Linked DNA regions of Saccharomyces cerevisiae S288C. The gene in region 2 interacts genetically with the main gene of each other region. Each region holds a gene or a part of one and is shown on either strand. Other genes may lie near its edges.

Evidence for each region.
Region 1: mutations in CHS7 (region 2) and EDE1 impair growth when combined (synthetic growth defect), as found in Saccharomyces cerevisiae (4 studies listed by BioGRID, with this or other methods).
Region 3: mutations in CHS7 (region 2) and MNN10 together harm fitness more than expected from each alone (negative genetic interaction), as found in Saccharomyces cerevisiae (4 studies listed by BioGRID, with this or other methods).
Region 4: mutations in CHS7 (region 2) and CYK3 together harm fitness more than expected from each alone (negative genetic interaction), as found in Saccharomyces cerevisiae (5 studies listed by BioGRID, with this or other methods).

Annotation. Positions count from the first base shown.
Region 1 is NC_001134.8:127,315-133,616, reverse strand, and holds EDE1 (Ede1p), read left to right. Parts: upstream 1-1,576; coding exon 1,577-5,722; downstream 5,723-6,302. Other genes in the region: PSY4 (Psy4p), read right to left, coding at 1-1,193; RRT1 (Rrt1p), read right to left, coding at 6,007-6,302. UniProt on the Saccharomyces cerevisiae protein: Functions at the internalization step of the clathrin-mediated endocytosis (CME) as an early-acting scaffold protein. Requires clathrin adapter proteins, ENT1/2 and YAP1801/2, for normal spatiotemporal dynamics and viability.
Region 2 is NC_001140.6:381,109-385,426, reverse strand, and holds CHS7 (Chs7p), read right to left. Parts: upstream 1,890-4,318; coding exon 939-1,889; downstream 1-938. Other genes in the region: 60S ribosomal protein eL42 RPL42B, read left to right, coding at 2,676-2,679, 3,121-3,437; YHR140W (uncharacterized protein), read right to left, coding at 4,136-4,318. UniProt on the Saccharomyces cerevisiae protein: Chaperone required for the export of the chitin synthase CHS3 from the endoplasmic reticulum.
Region 3 is NC_001136.10:950,176-954,481, forward strand, and holds MNN10 (alpha-1,6-mannosyltransferase), read left to right. Parts: upstream 1-2,624; coding exon 2,625-3,806; downstream 3,807-4,306. Other genes in the region: mRNA splicing protein PRP28, read right to left, coding at 1-109; PEX5 (Pex5p), read left to right, coding at 388-2,226; TRAPP subunit TRS23, read left to right, coding at 4,113-4,306. UniProt on the Saccharomyces cerevisiae protein: Required for polarized growth and efficient budding. The M-Pol II complex possesses alpha-1,6-mannosyltransferase activity and is probably involved in the elongation of the mannan backbone of N-linked glycans on cell wall and periplasmic proteins.
Region 4 is NC_001136.10:246,240-252,333, forward strand, and holds CYK3 (Cyk3p), read left to right. Parts: upstream 1-2,341; coding exon 2,342-4,999; downstream 5,000-6,094. Other genes in the region: YFH1 (ferroxidase), read left to right, coding at 1-208; HEM25 (Hem25p), read right to left, coding at 450-1,373; NUP84 (Nup84p), read left to right, coding at 5,327-6,094. UniProt on the Saccharomyces cerevisiae protein: Involved in cytokinesis by recruiting INN1 to the bud neck. Cooperates with INN1 to stimulate the synthesis of the primary septum (PS) by CHS2.

The DNA.
Region 1 (6,302 bases), on a different chromosome or scaffold from region 2:
CTTCTACCCTCATGGTTTTCATGAGCATCCTCTTTCTCCTCCTCCTGGCTCGATGAGATCTCATTACTGCCGTCCATGGCATTGAGGAGCGAAGACGATGGCGACTCTATTATGGAGAACCTGCCCGTTGCGGTATGTTTATATTTCTTTGGCGTCGTGAGATCCATGTTTGTGAATGATGGTGATTCGTCATATTCAAAGTTATCTAAATCTGTGGGCTTCCTCTTCCTTGGAGTTTCATTTTTCTTGTCAAAATTTTGCACCTTGGTACTTTCGCCCGCCTGCCTATCTTCGTCATCATCTTCATCGTCATCTGTGCTGCCCATGTGATCATCATCCTCATCATCTTCATCTGCACCATCTTCACGATAATCGTCGTCGTTGTCATCGTCATCTTCATCATCGCTATTATTCTTCGTAACATCGCTCTGACAATTTTGTCCTTTATTATCGCTATTATCATCGTTTATCCCGCAATCATCCTCATAGTATTCTTCCACCATGAAATTTTCATCTTTCAGCAAAACATTACGCTTACTCTTATTCCCCATCTCCCTATCTTCATCACCATCAAAAAATCCTTCCTCTTCATCCTCGTCATCGTAGCCTAGGTTGACACTCATTATAGAGTCGATTTCTCTAATAAAGGGTGCCAACTCCCTAGTATTGTTTTCGGTCATCCACGGTATCTTCATTAGTGAGACATCTTCTTGATTCTTGATGAAGTTAATATCTTTCTCCTTATCGTCCTCTTGCTTCTCACCGTGTGTTTTATCAAAAACCTGCCAACTGCTAGTTACCATGCAACATTTTTCTAGCGCATTTACAAACTTCTCCAATTCATTGATCTTGTAATATTTGAAAGGATCATAACACAATTCGCATATCCGAAGTATTGTGAATGGAAATGTATGATTTTGTAAAAAATTATCATTCAGAAACTTACCCAGCCAATTTAATCTAGTAACGAGATTTCTCGCATCGTTCATTTCATTCTTAAGGTTTATAAATAGGTCAAACGGTATTGTTTCAGTGATATGCCGGATTAAATCAGGCAAAACTTGCTCGGGACCCGCCGTCACCAATCGCGTCTTGTCGCCCTGTTTCACCACATCGCTAAGTAATTCATAAAGGCTGATAGACTTGATACCCATCATATTATTATCCACATCATCCAACATCGTCGAGCTCATAGCTTTTTATTGTGCTTTGACAATCGATGAGAACACCAACAAAAAATGATAATAGGTATTGTTAGCTGTGTCAAAATACATGCTTTTGATCGCGAAATGAAAAACTACACAATCATTACCCGTCGGCGCTTCGGAGGGGGATTAGATTTCTCCTATAATCAAAATCTTCAACTATTACAAACCCCTTTTCAGAAGCACATTGAAAACAACACACAACAGAGCACTTTGTGATAGGCAATAGAGTGCTTTTAAATAGAGAATTACTGGTTCTCGCGAAATAATATAGCGCGTTGAAACTAATAAATAGATTCGTGAAGCTCTAGATCTATCTTTTTTCCTGTTTTTATCTGTGTGTTTTCAATAGGATTCGAACGATATAGGCCATGGCATCTATTACTTTTAGAACTCCATTATCCTCTCAGGAACAAGCCTTTTATAATCAGAAATTTCACCAATTGGATACGGAAGATCTCGGGGTGGTCACTGGCGAGGCAGTCAGACCGCTCTTCGCGTCTTCTGGTCTTCCAGGGCAATTACTATCGCAAGTGTGGGCTACCGTCGATATAGACAATAAAGGGTTTTTGAACTTGAACGAGTTTTCGGCTGCTTTGAGAATGATCGCTCAATTGCAAAATGCTCCCAACCAACCAATTTCCGCTGCCCTATATGAGAGCACACCTACTCAACTGGCTTCTTTTTCTATAAATCAGAACCCAGCCCCTATGCAAAGCGGTAGTGCAACCGGCAATACAAACAACACTGATATTCCTGCCTTATCCTCAAATGATATTGCTAAATTTTCACAACTGTTTGATAGGACAGCAAAGGGTGCTCAAACTGTTGCTGGTGATAAAGCCAAGGATATATTTTTAAAGGCAAGATTACCAAATCAAACTTTAGGTGAAATTTGGGCTCTTTGTGATAGAGACGCATCCGGTGTCTTAGACAAATCTGAGTTTATAATGGCCATGTATTTGATCCAACTATGTATGTCTCATCATCCTAGTATGAACACACCACCGGCCGTGTTGCCTACTCAGCTGTGGGATTCTATTCGTTTAGAACCTGTTGTTGTTAATCAACCAAACAGGACTACTCCTTTGAGTGCTAACTCCACTGGCGTATCTTCACTAACAAGACACTCTACTATATCACGTCTATCTACTGGTGCATTCAGTAATGCTGCTTCAGATTGGTCTTTAAGTTTTGAAAAAAAACAACAGTTTGATGCAATTTTTGATTCATTAGATAAGCAACATGCTGGTTCGCTAAGCTCTGCTGTGTTGGTTCCATTCTTCTTATCCTCTAGATTAAACCAAGAGACGTTAGCCACCATCTGGGACTTAGCTGACATCCACAACAATGCTGAATTCACCAAATTGGAATTTGCTATTGCCATGTTCTTAATTCAAAAAAAGAATGCTGGTGTCGAATTACCGGATGTTATCCCCAATGAATTATTACAGTCCCCCGCTTTAGGACTTTATCCGCCAAACCCACTTCCTCAACAACAAAGTGCACCTCAAATTGCCATCCCCTCAAGAGCAAGTAAGCCTTCTTTACAGGATATGCCACACCAAGTTTCTGCCCCAGCAGTTAATACTCAACCAACAGTTCCACAAGTTCTTCCTCAAAACTCAAATAACGGTTCTTTGAATGATTTACTGGCTTTGAACCCTTCATTCAGCTCTCCTTCTCCCACTAAAGCACAAACTGTGGTTCAAAACAACACAAATAATAGTTTTTCATATGATAATAACAATGGCCAAGCAACATTACAACAACAACAGCCACAGCAGCCTCCACCTTTAACTCACTCCTCCTCTGGATTGAAGAAATTTACTCCCACCTCAAACTTCGGTCAAAGTATAATCAAGGAAGAACCAGAGGAACAAGAGCAACTAAGGGAATCCAGTGATACTTTTAGCGCTCAGCCTCCGCCAGTTCCAAAACATGCTTCAAGTCCAGTCAAACGTACAGCTTCAACAACACTGCCACAAGTTCCCAACTTTTCTGTGTTTAGCATGCCAGCAGGCGCTGCCACTAGCGCTGCCACTGGTGCTGCTGTAGGCGCCGCAGTGGGTGCTGCTGCTTTAGGCGCATCCGCTTTTTCAAGATCTTCCAATAATGCATTCAAGAACCAGGATTTATTTGCAGATGGTGAAGCTTCTGCTCAGTTATCTAATGCTACCACAGAAATGGCTAATTTATCTAACCAAGTAAACTCCCTGTCCAAGCAGGCAAGTATAACTAATGACAAAAAGTCAAGAGCGACCCAGGAGTTGAAACGTGTTACTGAGATGAAAAATTCCATTCAAATCAAATTGAACAATTTACGTTCTACCCATGACCAAAATGTTAAACAAACGGAACAACTGGAAGCACAAGTACTTCAAGTAAACAAAGAAAACGAAACATTAGCGCAACAGTTGGCTGTATCCGAAGCAAACTACCATGCCGCTGAGTCCAAACTCAATGAACTAACTACTGATTTGCAAGAATCTCAAACAAAGAACGCAGAATTAAAAGAACAAATTACGAATTTGAACTCGATGACAGCCTCCTTACAGTCACAATTAAATGAAAAACAACAACAGGTCAAGCAAGAAAGGTCAATGGTAGATGTTAATTCAAAACAGCTAGAGTTGAATCAAGTCACAGTAGCAAACTTGCAGAAGGAAATCGATGGTCTTGGCGAAAAGATAAGCGTTTACTTAACTAAACAAAAGGAGTTAAATGACTACCAAAAGACCGTGGAGGAGCAACACGCACAATTACAAGCTAAATACCAGGATCTGTCCAACAAGGATACTGATTTAACGGACCGTGAAAAACAATTGGAAGAACGTAACAGACAAATTGAAGAACAAGAAAATCTCTACCATCAGCACGTTTCTAAATTGCAAGAAATGTTCGACGATCTATCACAGAGAAAAGCTTCTTTTGAAAAAGCTGATCAAGAGTTAAAGGAGAGAAACATCGAATACGCTAACAATGTGAGAGAGTTATCCGAAAGACAAATGAATTTAGCTATGGGACAATTACCTGAGGATGCTAAGGACATTATTGCGAAAAGCGCCTCTAATACAGATACAACAACCAAAGAAGCCACATCAAGAGGAAATGTTCACGAAGACACTGTATCCAAATTTGTCGAAACTACTGTTGAGAATTCAAACTTGAATGTTAATCGGGTTAAAGACGATGAAGAAAAGACAGAAAGAACCGAAAGTGACGTATTTGATAGAGACGTTCCAACTTTGGGATCTCAAAGCGATAGTGAAAATGCCAATACAAACAACGGCACCCAGTCAGGAAATGAGACAGCAAATCCAAACTTAACTGAAACATTAAGTGATAGGTTTGATGGTGATTTGAATGAATATGGTATTCCAAGAAGTCAATCCTTGACATCGTCTGTTGCAAACAATGCTCCTCAATCCGTAAGAGATGATGTTGAGCTACCGGAAACGTTGGAAGAACGTGACACCATCAATAATACTGCGAATAGAGATAATACTGGAAACTTATCTCACATTCCTGGTGAATGGGAAGCTACCCCAGCTACCGCTTCTACTGATGTTTTGAGCAACGAAACTACAGAAGTTATTGAAGACGGAAGTACCACAAAAAGGGCTAATTCAAATGAAGACGGTGAGTCGGTCAGTTCTATCCAAGAATCTCCAAAAATCTCTGCTCAACCAAAAGCAAAGACAATAAATGAAGAGTTTCCACCAATTCAGGAATTGCATATTGACGAAAGCGATTCATCCTCTTCAGACGATGATGAGTTTGAAGATACCAGAGAAATTCCATCAGCAACAGTGAAGACCCTTCAAACTCCCTATAATGCCCAGCCCACATCAAGTTTGGAAATCCACACGGAACAAGTCATAAAATATCCCGCTCCAGGCACTTCTCCTTCACATAATGAAGGTAACTCAAAAAAGGCAAGCACCAATTCCATTTTGCCTGTTAAGGACGAATTTGATGATGAATTCGCAGGGTTAGAACAAGCGGCTGTGGAGGAAGATAATGGTGCTGATTCGGAATCTGAATTTGAGAATGTTGCGAATGCTGGGTCGATGGAGCAATTTGAAACCATAGACCATAAGGATCTCGATGACGAACTACAAATGAACGCTTTTACAGGGACGTTAACTAGTTCCTCTAACCCAACTATCCCAAAACCACAAGTACAACAACAGTCAACCAGTGACCCTGCTCAAGTAAGCAACGATGAGTGGGACGAGATTTTTGCTGGATTTGGTAACTCCAAAGCTGAACCAACCAAAGTAGCTACCCCAAGCATTCCACAACAACCAATTCCATTGAAGAATGATCCTATCGTTGATGCTAGCTTGTCAAAAGGTCCAATAGTTAACCGCGGGGTTGCAACTACTCCAAAGTCTCTAGCCGTCGAGGAGTTAAGTGGCATGGGATTTACTGAAGAAGAAGCGCACAATGCCTTGGAAAAGTGCAACTGGGATCTAGAAGCCGCCACTAACTTTTTGTTGGATAGTGCTTAGTCTGTAATGGACCATTTCGTCTTCTTTTTGTACTTCTTCCTCGAAGCTGAATCATATTTACCCTTTTCCAGGATCGTCCTTGTATATTGTGAATTATTCTAAAAGTAGAATATGTTGTACTTTAAAATTGTTATAGTTATCATCATCTATTTTTCCATTTTATAAAATTTTTACGTTAGACAGTTATGTATTGAAACTGCTTCATAAGTTTTGAAAATCATCCCAGTTTGGTAAATACACTAACCAAAAAAAAAAAAAGCTCTACCACATAATCTTTGGGCGTATTACAACATGGGAAACACGACATTATTGAAAATACAAAAAAAGTAAAGTAAGACTCGTTCAGGGCATAAGTCAATGGCCCTGTAAGAAAAAACAAAGTAGCTAGGCTCATAAGAGATTATCTGTTTAATTTTCTTTGAATAAAAAAAAGTATAAATCGATAAGATAAAATACCACAATGAAAAAATAAAGGCTACTTGAAAACAACTGGACCAAACCAAAACCCAATTAACCCAGACCAGTAATGAAACACGAATAGAAATATACCCAATCAAAATAGAAGGAAGAAAGACCAGAT
Region 2 (4,318 bases):
GTTAGCTCTACTGAAGAGTTACAATAAAATGTAGTAAGGAATGACTAGAGTTAGCTTAAAACCCGAAAATATAATTCAAAAAATAATAACGCTTGAGGGAGTGGCTTTAGTTGGAATTGAAACAGTATATTCTTTGTTTCAGGCTCGCTGTCTACTTAATGGAAGTCGATATTGCTGGTTTACTTGAAGTTTTTCAATAGACATCGAATAAGCAGAAGAGGAAGAATGAATGAAACATTAGATAAGTTTCCTCTTATATACCGAGTATGAGTTAACGAGTTTCCTGTCATCTTTTGGGAGAACTTTTTACATTAACAGGCAACCAAGACATTGCTGGTTCTTTTATGTTTTGTTTTTCCAATTTAAACGAATGAATTACTGGTTCTTATTTTATTCAAACGATTTTCCAGATAATCTATCCCCTTTCTTCTAAGATATTCCTACAACTATCAAGCATTGTTCACAGTTCTCTTTTTTTTTTTCAGAATACATTATTTACTTTTCGCAAAGTATTTGTTTACATTCGGGCAGAACTGTAAACAGAAAAGAGACCAGCGGAAAGGCCTAAACCCGCAGCGTTGCGAAAATAAGATGATGCTTTTCGTAGAACCCTCTCATGGAAAAGTAGTCATGAACATATGAGCGACTTTAAAACATTGGAAACAGATTAAGAAGTTTTGTTTTCAATTGACTAAAGAAGGATAATTTGTCATCTTACTTAATAAACTACGGGAACGACCATCACGTTTCTTTTATGGATATGGTTGTTTCCGCTGATAAAAGAAGTCACTACGCTGATTGACTGTCAAAGTGTACACAAGCCGTTAAAACGTGGAAACGGCTACTTTCACTCTTTGGTTTGTCATAGTCCTGCTTATTACATTAAACTAATAGTATACACCTATTTTCTATATATGGTAATAGAAAAAAGAAGCATTTCACATAAATCCATTATCATACACCACGTCACCGTCCTTGCTAACACTTACACCAAATTCCAAGTCGTCGTCGGTAGTCATATCCCAAGTCTTGTAAACCATCATTAATGTGAACACATTACAGATGCTTCCAAAAAAGAGGCCATCTAAGTAGTGCTTGAACCCTTCACAAATTTGTGTAGAGAAGGCATAAACCAATACCTGGCCTGCTACAAAGAAAAATAGCCCCAAAAAGATAGCTCCTGTGACCCATAAGTTTCGAACTACCAATAGGGATACCAGTAATTGACAAATAACGAAAACGAATAAGAAAATGGCGTTTATTATGTAAACGACGACAATCATCCCTGAAGCGTTCATTGTTGCTACTTTATGGTCGGTGATCCATGCTTTGAAGGTTAAAATAGAGGCTAAAAAATTGGCTATGAATCCTAGCATGGACGTTCCACGGACCAACAGCATGGACTTTGTAGTCCCATCTTCCCATAAATTGAAACCTAAAAACCCGATTATCAATAAGGCCCAGCAACATGCACCCGCCAGTCCTATTTGTATAGCCACGAAGTATGGATATGACCCAGAGCCGGGGGGAGATACACCACAGTCTACCACCAAGGTAAATATTATCAATAGCAATGTTAGTTGGAAAAAGTAGAGATATTCAGACCTGCCAATAGCAGTATACTTCTGTCTTATGTTATAAAGTATGATTAAAATGACACCTAGAGCACCAATATTTATGAATGCGTTCCCGACATCAAAGATGACTGTATTGGCAAGATCAATCGACCGAGCATAACAGCGTGGCAGTACACCGACATTCAAATTTAAAGGATCAAAATCATGTATAATTGTTGAGTTCGAAAGTATTAGATGGGTTTTAGACTTTATTACCGAACATAATGGCAACGGGGTCTTTGAGCATATGGCAGCAAAATCACTAAATGCCATATTATATATATATCAGCTTTTGTATTAACAAAACCACAATTTTTGATAATAGTTTTGATGAAATAAACTTTCCACGTGGAGACAGCTTTGAAAAAACAGTTCAAAGTATGCCAGTGTAGCTTTGACTTTTTTTAATCTTTTTAGTTAAGTTATGCAATATGCTATTTTTATACCAAAATGGATCCTTTTTGATTTCGTGTCTTGTGAAACTTTTTCAATATTTAACCGTTTTAAGAAAGCGAAGCGGGCAACACCAGAAGAATGTCAATAACTTACTGTAACAACATAAAACATGGCATTTTAAATAGTACTGCCAAAATTTAATGCAATGGCAATTAGTTGGCTATGTTGCTACATATTATTTTCCATAGCATTCTCTGTCACAAACTTCAAAATAAAAGACAGTGACATCCGAACATCCGATACACCCATACATCATGAAAATAAATCCTGACATTGGAAGAAGTCTTGATACAAAAAAAGATCGCTGTCAAAAATGCGGCCAGACTGCCGCTGCATCGTACCAACAGTGCGTATGTTCAGACGGAGAGACGACCTCTAGAGAGACGTCCGTCGGTGCGGCAACGCTGACGGTTTAGTTGTTCGACGGGATGATGGGTTCCGCCAGGGGGAGGGAAGGCTTTCCACCAAGAGAGGTAAAATTATTCGTCGAAATGAACTCAGAGATACATCCATATTGTTGACAATGTATATCTTAATTGATGTGGTATTTTCACTGTTTTAACGTAAATTGAAGGAGATTAAGCAAAAAAACAATCAGTAATAATGGGTATGTGGACGATTAGGAATAGACAAACCATGTTATTTATCTCCATTAGGGCGTGAGAGTGTAATTAGTACACAGGTACTACTAGAATGCTAAAGAACTTTTTAAAATATCCTGAATCGTAGGGCAAATCCATGTCAAGCAAGAAACTAATAGTTATTAAACTTCATTTACTTTTGAGCTAGTTAAATATTTTCATCATTTCCTAAAGTACTGAACACCTGAATGATACTTTTATTGGCCCTTTTAATAAGAACTCTGGTTAGAAAATATATTGAGGATATCATTAGTAATACTCATTAGATATTTGTGAATTTAGCCGTTTCCCCATTACAGAAAAAAGATACAACTAATTACATGTGCAGTCAAATTACTTTTTTTTTAAGATCAATTACTAACAATCAACTATCATGCTAAATTTGCTGTGATATCATTTTGAACCAGTTAACGTCCCAAAGACCAGAAAGACCTACTGTAAGGGTAAGACCTGTCGTAAGCACACTCAACACAAGGTTACTCAATACAAAGCTGGTAAGGCTTCCTTGTTCGCTCAAGGTAAGAGACGTTATGACCGTAAACAATCTGGTTTCGGTGGTCAAACCAAGCCTGTTTTCCACAAGAAAGCTAAGACTACCAAGAAGGTTGTTTTGAGATTGGAATGTGTCAAATGTAAGACTAGAGCCCAATTAACCTTGAAGAGATGTAAGCACTTCGAATTGGGTGGTGAAAAGAAGCAAAAGGGTCAAGCTTTGCAATTCTGAGAGTTGTTATTGTTTATTGTTTTATTATATTTTTATAGTTATACTTTGACCATTAACTTTTTGTAAATTTTGCATACTTAACTCTTTAATATTGAAAACCTGCCTATTTGGCGTAATTTTTCATCCTGCCTTTGAACCTGTTGTAAACGTTCGCGTTGGCAACCATGATAAGTTAACAAGACACGTAGGCGTTCGCACTAAAACACAGCATTGCTACTAAAGTACGTTACTAAGAACCAGTAAAAATAAATATGTATAAATAAAATGTAGATACAGCTGATTCCCAATATCTCATTTCAGAAATGATCAACACCAGGCGCCCAGCAACGTTCAATCTATCTACGCTTCAGTACTACTAAAAGTGGGAAAAACGTGGGCTTTTAGTCATTCCCTGCAATTTTAAGAAAACTGCATATACTAGTAGTACATTCGCGATATAATTATGATGTTGGCCTTTTTAAAACAAAAACCAAAAGGAATTTGATTATAACAAAACTAAAGAGGTGTGGAAAATTAATACAAACCTTCGACTTTTTATAGTGCGGTTCCTACACTTTTTTTTTTTCCCGCTTACCCTGGTGATTGATTTTTTGGGTTCCGTTGTAGGGCTAGCACGAAAATAAGAATTAAGTAGCAAAATTTGAGATTTGCTCACTTTACATACAAAGAGCTTAAATAGTAGTATACTAGTAGTAATGCTAATTCTTATCACCTTTCTTTGCCGACTTCTTGATGTATTTTGGCGGAAACTTTTGATAAAATACATAATAAGCCCACGTAATAGTAGCAACAACAACAAATATAATCGACTTGTACGGCTCGTTCACGTCTAGAAACGGGTATGGATAGGCTTGGCCTTGCCCCGCATCTATCAGGAATGC
Region 3 (4,306 bases), on a different chromosome or scaffold from region 2:
GTTTATTCAAAAACCTAGGCTTGCTGATTTTACCTGATGTATTTTCATCTAGTCCTTTTTTCTTGTTTATACCAGCAATCAGCTGACTAACATCGATTGGTCTTGCCATCCGTCCTGTATGTTAATTCTTCGGCTCCTATTGACCTTTTCGTTGTCAAAAATTCTATTGTCGTTGGTAATTCTCTCGATTGTAAGCTTCGAATATGTAAAAACGGATCATCGCGATTAACTCCGAATTCCTCCGACAAGTCGGTACCCTCTTCCGGCGGAGAATATATATGAACAAAATTAAGCATAAGAAAGGTTTCTGATTAATATTGATTCACCAAACAGTTTTAGTTCCTATTTTTGGATATATATACATCAATAAACAATATATCATAACACATGGACGTAGGAAGTTGCTCAGTGGGAAATAATCCGCTTGCGCAGTTGCACAAACATACTCAGCAGAACAAATCGCTTCAGTTTAATCAGAAGAATAATGGGCGTCTTAATGAGTCACCTCTACAGGGTACCAACAAGCCAGGTATTAGTGAGGCTTTTATATCCAATGTTAATGCTATTTCACAAGAAAACATGGCGAATATGCAAAGGTTCATAAACGGAGAACCACTGATCGATGATAAAAGAAGAATGGAAATAGGGCCATCCTCAGGCAGGCTTCCACCTTTTTCAAACGTACATTCTCTACAGACTTCAGCAAACCCAACCCAAATTAAGGGAGTGAACGATATATCTCATTGGTCACAGGAATTTCAAGGTAGTAATAGTATTCAAAATAGAAACGCGGATACAGGAAATTCAGAAAAGGCATGGCAGCGTGGCTCAACAACCGCATCAAGCCGGTTTCAGTACCCTAATACCATGATGAATAACTATGCTTATGCTTCTATGAACAGTCTTAGTGGATCAAGGCTCCAATCGCCTGCTTTCATGAATCAACAACAGTCTGGTCGTTCTAAAGAAGGAGTCAATGAGCAAGAACAACAACCCTGGACAGATCAGTTTGAAAAGCTGGAAAAAGAAGTCTCAGAAAACTTGGACATAAATGATGAAATAGAGAAGGAGGAAAATGTGAGTGAAGTAGAACAAAACAAACCAGAAACTGTTGAGAAGGAAGAAGGAGTATATGGAGATCAGTATCAATCTGATTTCCAAGAAGTGTGGGATAGCATACACAAGGACGCTGAAGAAGTCTTGCCATCCGAATTAGTTAATGATGACCTCAATCTAGGAGAAGACTACTTGAAATATCTCGGCGGTAGAGTAAATGGGAACATCGAGTATGCTTTTCAATCTAACAACGAATATTTTAATAATCCTAATGCTTATAAAATTGGCTGCCTACTGATGGAAAACGGAGCCAAATTGAGCGAGGCAGCGCTAGCATTTGAAGCTGCTGTTAAAGAAAAACCGGACCATGTGGATGCATGGCTAAGATTGGGTCTAGTACAAACCCAGAATGAAAAAGAGTTGAACGGCATAAGCGCCCTCGAAGAATGTTTAAAGTTAGACCCAAAGAATCTGGAGGCAATGAAAACTTTAGCGATAAGTTATATAAACGAAGGTTATGATATGAGCGCCTTCACAATGCTGGATAAATGGGCAGAAACTAAGTACCCGGAAATTTGGTCAAGGATCAAGCAACAAGATGACAAATTTCAAAAAGAGAAAGGGTTTACCCATATTGATATGAACGCTCATATCACAAAGCAATTTTTGCAACTAGCAAACAATTTAAGCACAATAGATCCTGAAATACAACTATGCTTGGGTCTCTTATTTTACACGAAAGATGATTTTGACAAAACCATAGATTGCTTTGAAAGTGCGTTGAGGGTGAATCCTAATGACGAACTCATGTGGAATAGATTAGGGGCTTCATTGGCCAATTCCAATAGATCAGAGGAAGCAATCCAAGCCTATCATAGGGCACTACAACTAAAACCTTCTTTTGTTAGAGCTCGCTATAATCTGGCGGTATCATCCATGAATATAGGCTGTTTCAAAGAAGCAGCAGGCTACTTATTAAGTGTTCTAAGTATGCATGAAGTGAACACTAATAATAAAAAAGGAGACGTTGGATCTCTCTTGAATACGTACAATGATACTGTTATAGAGACTTTGAAGAGAGTTTTTATAGCGATGAATAGAGATGATTTACTTCAAGAAGTGAAGCCAGGCATGGACCTGAAAAGATTTAAAGGAGAATTTTCGTTTTGATATGGTTCTCCGCAATTTTATGTTCTCGCATCACTGCCCAAATTCATTAGCATTAGCAGTACAAGCTATCCTATATATAAGGCAATAAAAAATCTTATAAATACTATCAGCAAGATTTCAACCTTGGAAAACATGCATTCAAAGGTCATAATTGCTGCTCTATTTACAGTCGTCCATAATGACATTTCTCTTTGATTATTTTCTTGTTTTTTCGCTCTTCTCAAGTGGATGTTACATAACAAACAAAACAGAAAAAATTGTTTAAATATAAAGTTTAAAAGTTATCTTTGATTCCGCACCTGAATTTTTGGATTGAAGGCCAAAGGAGGTTTATCAGGGAGAGAAAAGCTCTCTATTTATTTTTATAAGGAATAATTGTGCATGTACAACTATACAATATGTCTAGTGTACCTTATAATTCCCAACTTCCTATATCCAACCATCTAGAGTACGATGAAGATGAAAAGAAGAGCAGAGGCTCAAAACTAGGCCTGAAATATAAAATGATATACTGGAGGAAAACTTTATGCAGTTCGCTAGCGAGATGGAGAAAGCTAATACTATTAATATCTTTAGCTTTGTTTTTATTCATATGGATAAGCGATTCCACCATAAGCAGAAATCCATCTACCACAAGTTTTCAAGGCCAAAATAGTAACGATAATAAGTTGAGTAATACTGGTTCTAGCATCAACTCCAAAAGATATGTACCACCATATTCTAAGAGATCAAGATGGTCGTTTTGGAATCAAGATCCTAGGATTGTCATTATATTAGCGGCAAACGAAGGTGGTGGTGTATTGAGGTGGAAAAATGAGCAAGAATGGGCTATCGAAGGCATATCAATAGAAAATAAGAAGGCCTATGCGAAGAGACATGGATATGCGTTGACTATCAAGGATTTGACAACGTCCAAAAGATACTCTCACGAATACAGAGAGGGTTGGCAAAAAGTAGATATATTGAGACAGACGTTCAGGGAGTTTCCTAATGCAGAATGGTTCTGGTGGTTGGACCTGGATACTATGATAATGGAGCCTTCTAAATCATTAGAAGAACATATTTTCGACAGATTGGAAACTCTGGCTGACAGAGAATTGAAAAGTTTTAATCCCCTAAACCTAAGAGACGACATACCCTATGTCGATTATTCAGAGGAAATGGAGTTTCTAATAACACAAGATTGTGGAGGCTTCAATTTGGGCTCATTTCTGATAAAAAATAGCGAATGGTCTAAGCTGCTTCTAGATATGTGGTGGGACCCCGTTCTGTATGAACAAAAACATATGGTTTGGGAACATAGAGAACAAGATGCGTTAGAGGCATTATATGAAAACGAACCGTGGATTCGTTCGAGAATAGGATTTTTGCCCTTAAGAACGATCAATGCATTCCCACCGGGAGCATGCTCTGAATACAGTGGTGACTCAAGATACTTTTACAGTGAGAAAGACCATGATTTTGTTGTGAATATGGCCGGATGCAATTTTGGCAGAGATTGCTGGGGCGAGATGCAGTACTACACCACTTTAATGGAAAAACTGAATAGGAAATGGTACACGAGATTTTTCTTCCCATAAAATGGAAGTTATCAATATTGTAAAGAGAAGCATTTACAAGCTTTTATTTTTCTTTTTAATTTCCACTACTGGTTCTGCTTTAAAATGTTGTTTTATAATTTATGTACATTTAGGCCTATAGAAGATTCTTTCAATAATATGCTACACATTCTTTTATTTTTCCATCATATGTTGGAGTTTATGCCTCCTCGGCAGGAGTTGGGCGGTGCGAAGAGAAGAAAAAGAGTGAAACTAAAAAAAGGAATCTGCCTTTGCATAAGTTCAAAAGTGCAATTTTAGTGTTGGATTTAAACGGGAAAAATTGAAATGGCCATCGAAACAATACTTGTAATAAACAAATCAGGCGGACTAATCTATCAGCGGAATTTTACCAACGACGAACAGAAATTGAACAGCAATGAATACTTAATTCTTGCTAGTACACTGCACGGTGTATTCGCCATCGCGAGCCAGCTGACTCCGAAGGCATTACAGCTAACTCAACAAACGAACATCGAAAA
Region 4 (6,094 bases), on a different chromosome or scaffold from region 2:
TGGCGTAATGACATTGGAAATTCCAGCTTTTGGAACGTATGTAATAAACAAACAGCCTCCAAATAAGCAAATTTGGTTGGCATCACCATTGTCCGGGCCTAACAGATTTGACCTTCTCAATGGGGAGTGGGTTTCGTTAAGAAATGGCACAAAGCTAACAGATATACTTACTGAAGAAGTTGAGAAGGCCATTTCTAAAAGCCAATAAGTGCACTTATCCATCGACTCTCTTATATTTATTTAAACACTTGTAACGCATCCAATCTATTTCATAGTTAGAGTCTCTCTTCCTTGTTATTGATATGATTTTTCTTTTGTACCGTGTGTGTATGTATGTATGTATGAACGTACTACTAAGCTTCAACGTCACTCTATAAAGAAACTAAAAAGACACGTATTTATACCTTTTTTGAAGAATGCGAGATTGCAATGAAATATGTGTCTATTTTTTACATGAATCTTTTGACCAACTCCTCATATATACCCCACGCAATACCTGCACTGAAGGCCTTTCTTGCCAGCCTCATGCTTAACCCGCTAAATAACTTCAGCACATTTTCATTTTTAACTATAGATGTAAATGTATTGAAGGAGTTGGTAAATTTTGATGGTTCCAATTGCATTCTCGTTTTTATGGTGTCGAACGGTGCCGTTACTGTGGTGGCTAAACTGGCGGATAGTACGGCGCTTGTTGTATTTACTGTTGTAGAGGTATAAGTAGTAAATCCTCCCTCAGGATTGTAATGTATAAACCTAGAAGGTAATACCATGGGCAGTAATTGTTTCGATTTTTCATATAGCAGCACATACAAACCTGCATAGGGAGCGTCTCTTAAACAAGTAGCTCCAAACCCTCTGAAAAATCCAAAAAGTCCTTCCTTAGTATATATATGGGTAATTGCCTCCTTTAAACTGGAGTAATTGTACAGAGTAGACTCATAACGGACTTTAATGACGGTGATAGGCATGGTTATATAACCTACCAAACCTCTTGCAAATGCACCTGTTAGTAAATTTTCATACATCGTTAATCGTGGTAAGCTACTGCTCTTGTTATATACAATGTTTGAATCGTTTGTTAATGAAGGCACAGCATTCCTCCTCTTTGCCAAAGATGAGCGCATAAGGTTCAAACATGATAAATATAAGGCGCTGCCTATTGATGTTCGTAATGCTGAAGGTAATGTACCTCTCCATAGCTGTAGAGGGCTGTCTATCTCTTTCAAATTTTTCCATAATGTAGCTTTCTTGTCTTGCTGGATTCTCGTCTTCAAAAGGTCTAAAGGTTGCAACGCAACAGCAGATGTTAGCCCACCGAAAAAGCCCCCGATCAAATGCGATGAATTTCTTGGCTTAGTTGCTTGCTCAGTCATGTATGCTGCTTCACAAATTGTGTACCTTCTAGTTGTTCCCGCTGTGCTATTTGCTTTTCTTTTGGTATAAGCTTATCCTTTTACTTCAATCACCCCCTCGTGAGAATTTAATGTGGAAGCAATATACTACTACACCGTTGACTTGGAGATTTTCAAGCTCAATTTTGCGTTCACTCAAATCTAAGTCATTTGAAACAAACACAACTTCTAAATATAGCAAGAGAAATAGGTCAATAACGCAGACACATATTTAACATTTAAGATACTGATAGATATTCAAAAGGAAACAGTCACCACAAGCGTTGGAGATTCAGCAAAACCCAAAAAGCAAGAAATTACAAAATCATTGTCTCGCTGATGAAACACCATCCTTTAGTGTTTGTATCCATTCAGCGTACCCTCTTGTTCTTGAGACTGGTGAATTTCGTAACTAGTTGAATATTGCAGGGTTTTCTTTTTCTAAATATGTATTAATGGTGGTGCCTGTCAGGGCGCGATAGAAGTGAAAAATTCTCGAATGGCTGGTTTGGTGGCCATTGAGCTGATCTGAAAAGGATGGTGAGATCAAGCTTGATATCTTGCATGCTTGGACCAACTATTTAAAATAAGTATTGAAAAAGGAGAATTTAGTTTCATTTACTCTCTACAATTGGATATTATACAGTTAAAACAAGAGAAAAGGCCAAAATTAACGGGACTCTGTTTGCATAACATATCTATAATATCAGTTTGATCTACTGCTGTTAAACTAATTTTTCTTTCTTCTGATTTCACTTCGTCCTTAATATTTTAACACATTAACTGTTTGCTATAAGCATACATTGCTTTTACCACTTTTTTTAATAATATCTTTTTATCCGTATTAATTACCGCATATAATTTTAGTTCGAAACATTAAAGGTCAGTCCCGAAGTTATAATTATAACATTTAATTCCTGAATTTACCGTATTACATTTAAATTTGCATAATGGCCACTAACTTAACATCTTTGAAGCCACCATTTAAGGTGAAGGCCAGGTATGGTTGGTCGGGCCAAACTAAAGGCGACTTAGGCTTTCTGGAGGGAGATATTATGGAAGTCACAAGGATTGCCGGTTCTTGGTTCTACGGCAAGTTATTGAGAAACAAAAAATGTTCTGGGTATTTTCCTCATAACTTCGTCATACTATTAGAGGAGAGATTAAATTCGAGCACTGAAAATGGTAGGCAACCTTCAAAAATAGTAGAAAGTTTTGAAAAATCAAATAAAGTTGTTATTCCACCAGTACCATCAAGGTATTCTGACGAGAGGCCAAGGCCTAAAAAGAAGCTATCTTCATCAATGCCCAATTCACCCAAGAAGCCGGTAGATTCTTTGACAAAGGCTAGAAAGGCAAAATCAAAAGAAATGGTAAATGAAAAAAATATCTATAATACCCAATCCTCTCGACATCATAATAACTCAGCTCCAAATTTACCTTTGGCTAGCCATAGTAAGCCTCAAGTACGAAATTTCGAGGAGTCCATGAACAATCCGTTACCACCTCTACCGCCACTACCAGATTTGGACAATATGAGAAAGACAGATAAAAGGGCACCAAAGAAATCATATTCTGCAAACGATTTACATATGGCACGTTCTTCAAGAGAATATAACTATTACAAAGACAACCAGAAATTCTATGATGGGTTTATCCCAGAAAAGAGATATTCTTTAGAAGAGGACTCTATTTCATCAGGCCTGTTTTCAAACTCTCAGTACTTAAATGATTCTGCTTGTAGTAGTGAGAACAGTTTTGCCTTAATGAGTGATTTTAGTGCCACGAGCGCGGGAAGTTTCGCCAGACATAAATATGCACAATCGTTTTCCGATTCATTGCAAAGATCACAGAATGCAAATGGCTGCTCTACAAAGATAAATGATTCACAGGAGTTTGGTGATTCCAATGCTAGTTCGAGAAATGGAAAAATGGGTGATATCCTTAGGAAAATAATTATTCCAAAGAGGAATACAAATATTTACTCCAGTTCAGTATCCTCACCAAAGTCACCAAAAGCATATCCTAAACTACCAGATATTCAGAATTTAAACTTGTCTGCAACACCCGATGAAGCTCGCGATTGGATTGCGGTAAAATGTCACTTGAACAGAGCAAGGACTCTTACCAAATATGACAAACATCCGAGGTATATGAGAGCTCTCGAAGAAAATCGCGACTTGATCTTACATCCTCAAGATTCGATTTATAACGGGCTAAATACCAATGAAGTCAAAGGTAATACAAAGCCCGGTTTGGTCGATGTGGAACTGGCCGAATTAAACATAGAATACATTGATAAGATGACTTGGAAACGGTGTATTAGAGACGGAACTATGACATTAGACAGTTGGGCTCAAACAACTTTTTCAGCAAGATACTCAACTGTTCTGGAAAAGTTAAGAGGCATATACATTTTTTGCACAGAGATGTTTGCTCTGACTGATGATAATGGAACGTCAGATTTTTCTGCGGAACCCCAAAATTTAGAGAAAATACTATACAGAAAGCATTGTACGCCATATGAATTGACATGGCTTTTCAAGAAATTAGCAAACTCATTGGGAATCACTTGTGAAATTGTTATAGGTTTCCTGAAAACACCGAGTGCTATAAATTGGGAGTTTAAGTATAACCACTGCTGGTTGAGAATACTGGTTAACAAAGAATGGAGATTTATTGACGTTATTTTAGGAAATGTAACCAACCCAATTCATGAATTTGTAAATAACAGAAAGATCAAGAAAGCAGAAAATAGCTACTTTTTGATGGCACCATTAGAAATGATATACACACATATACCGCCTAGGGAATTTGAGCAGCATATTGTTCCTAGTATCGATCAATTATCTGCATTGTATCTGCCATTAGTTTTTCCATCTTTTTTCAAAAATGAGTTAAAGTTATACAAATTTAGTACTGCACTATCATTTTTGGAAGATTCTGAGATCTACGAATGCTCCTTAGAAATTCCCAATGACGTTGAAGTCTTTGCATCCGTGGTTATTCCAACGGATAATGAAGAAGCTTCATCTGCGTACAGGAATATGGAACTCGCACTGACCCAAATCAAAAAGCAGAAAGCCGAGTCTGGTAGAAGAATTGCTCTAATCAAAGCAGTCCTACCACCCAATGTGAACAAAGGTTCACTGTACATACATTCAGGTGTAAGAGGTACGCAAACGAGTATTGCCAATATCCATCCACTGTCCATGATGGTCCCATTAACACATAAGGGAAGTAACATGAAATACGAATTTGTGATCAAGATACCCTCAGAAAGCATTCAGAAGATTGAGCTATACATTGTCGAGCCACAGAGTAGATATCTATTTGTTGGTAATGAGTACTCATTCGAAGTTATTCAAAGTCCCTCCGATGGTATTGTATACAGCAGTGATGAAGGGCCGAACCAAAATAGGAAACAACCAATGGCAATAAAATCACCCTCAGGAAGAGTTCATGAGCTAGTCAAGAGCGATCCCCACTTTCCTTATGGTACCTGGAAAGGAAGCATTAAAATCAAAGAGCCCGGCGTCTGGAGCGCTTTAGTGATCGCTGACTCTGGTATTGGGTGGTCCGTTTTTGCTGAATGGTTGTGCGTATAAACGTTTTTCACAAATTTTTTTACAGCGCTATAATCTGTATCATTCAACATACATTCTACTCAGGAAGGTGAATTTCATAACTCATATATGGCTATATAGTACTTATTATTTAATGATTTATCCATTGCATTCATAAAAGCTATGCTGGTCCAACTTTTTCGTATTTAGTGATGTTTTCGGTGAAGAAAATATGAAAAATTAGACCAAATGCTCAAATACATACGACATTTGAATTGTTTAGGCAAGTCCGAAAACGAGGTATATCAGCTAATTCAACCTGAAAACCAATTGAGTGCTACTTCGAAGTAAAATACATAGCCATTTCAAATGGAATTATCCCCTACTTATCAAACAGAACGCTTCACAAAGTTCTCAGACACTTTAAAGGAATTCAAAATTGAACAAAATAATGAGCAAAACCCCATTGACCCGTTTAACATCATAAGAGAGTTTCGCTCAGCCGCGGGGCAGCTTGCGTTAGATTTGGCTAATTCTGGAGATGAAAGTAACGTCATATCTTCTAAGGATTGGGAACTGGAAGCTAGATTTTGGCATTTAGTAGAACTGTTACTGGTTTTCAGGAACGCTGATCTTGATCTAGATGAAATGGAACTTCATCCTTATAACTCGAGGGGTTTATTTGAAAAGAAATTAATGCAAGACAACAAACAACTTTATCAAATATGGATAGTGATGGTTTGGCTCAAAGAAAATACATATGTGATGGAAAGACCCAAAAATGTACCAACTTCAAAATGGTTAAATAGTATTACTTCTGGAGGATTGAAAAGCTGTGACTTGGATTTTCCTTTACGAGAAAACACTAATGTCCTCGATGTTAAAGATAAAGAAGAAGATCATATTTTCTTCAAATACATTTACGAACTAATTTTGGCCGGTGCGATTGATGAAGCATTAGAAGAAGCTAAACTTTCCGACAATATTTCAATTTGTATGATCCTGTGTGGGATACAAGAGTACTTAAACCCTGTCATTGATACGCAAATTGCAAACGAATTCAATACCCAGCAAGGTATCAAGAAGCACTCTTTGTGGAGAAGAACAGTTTACAGCCTTTCGCAGCAGGCCGGTTTG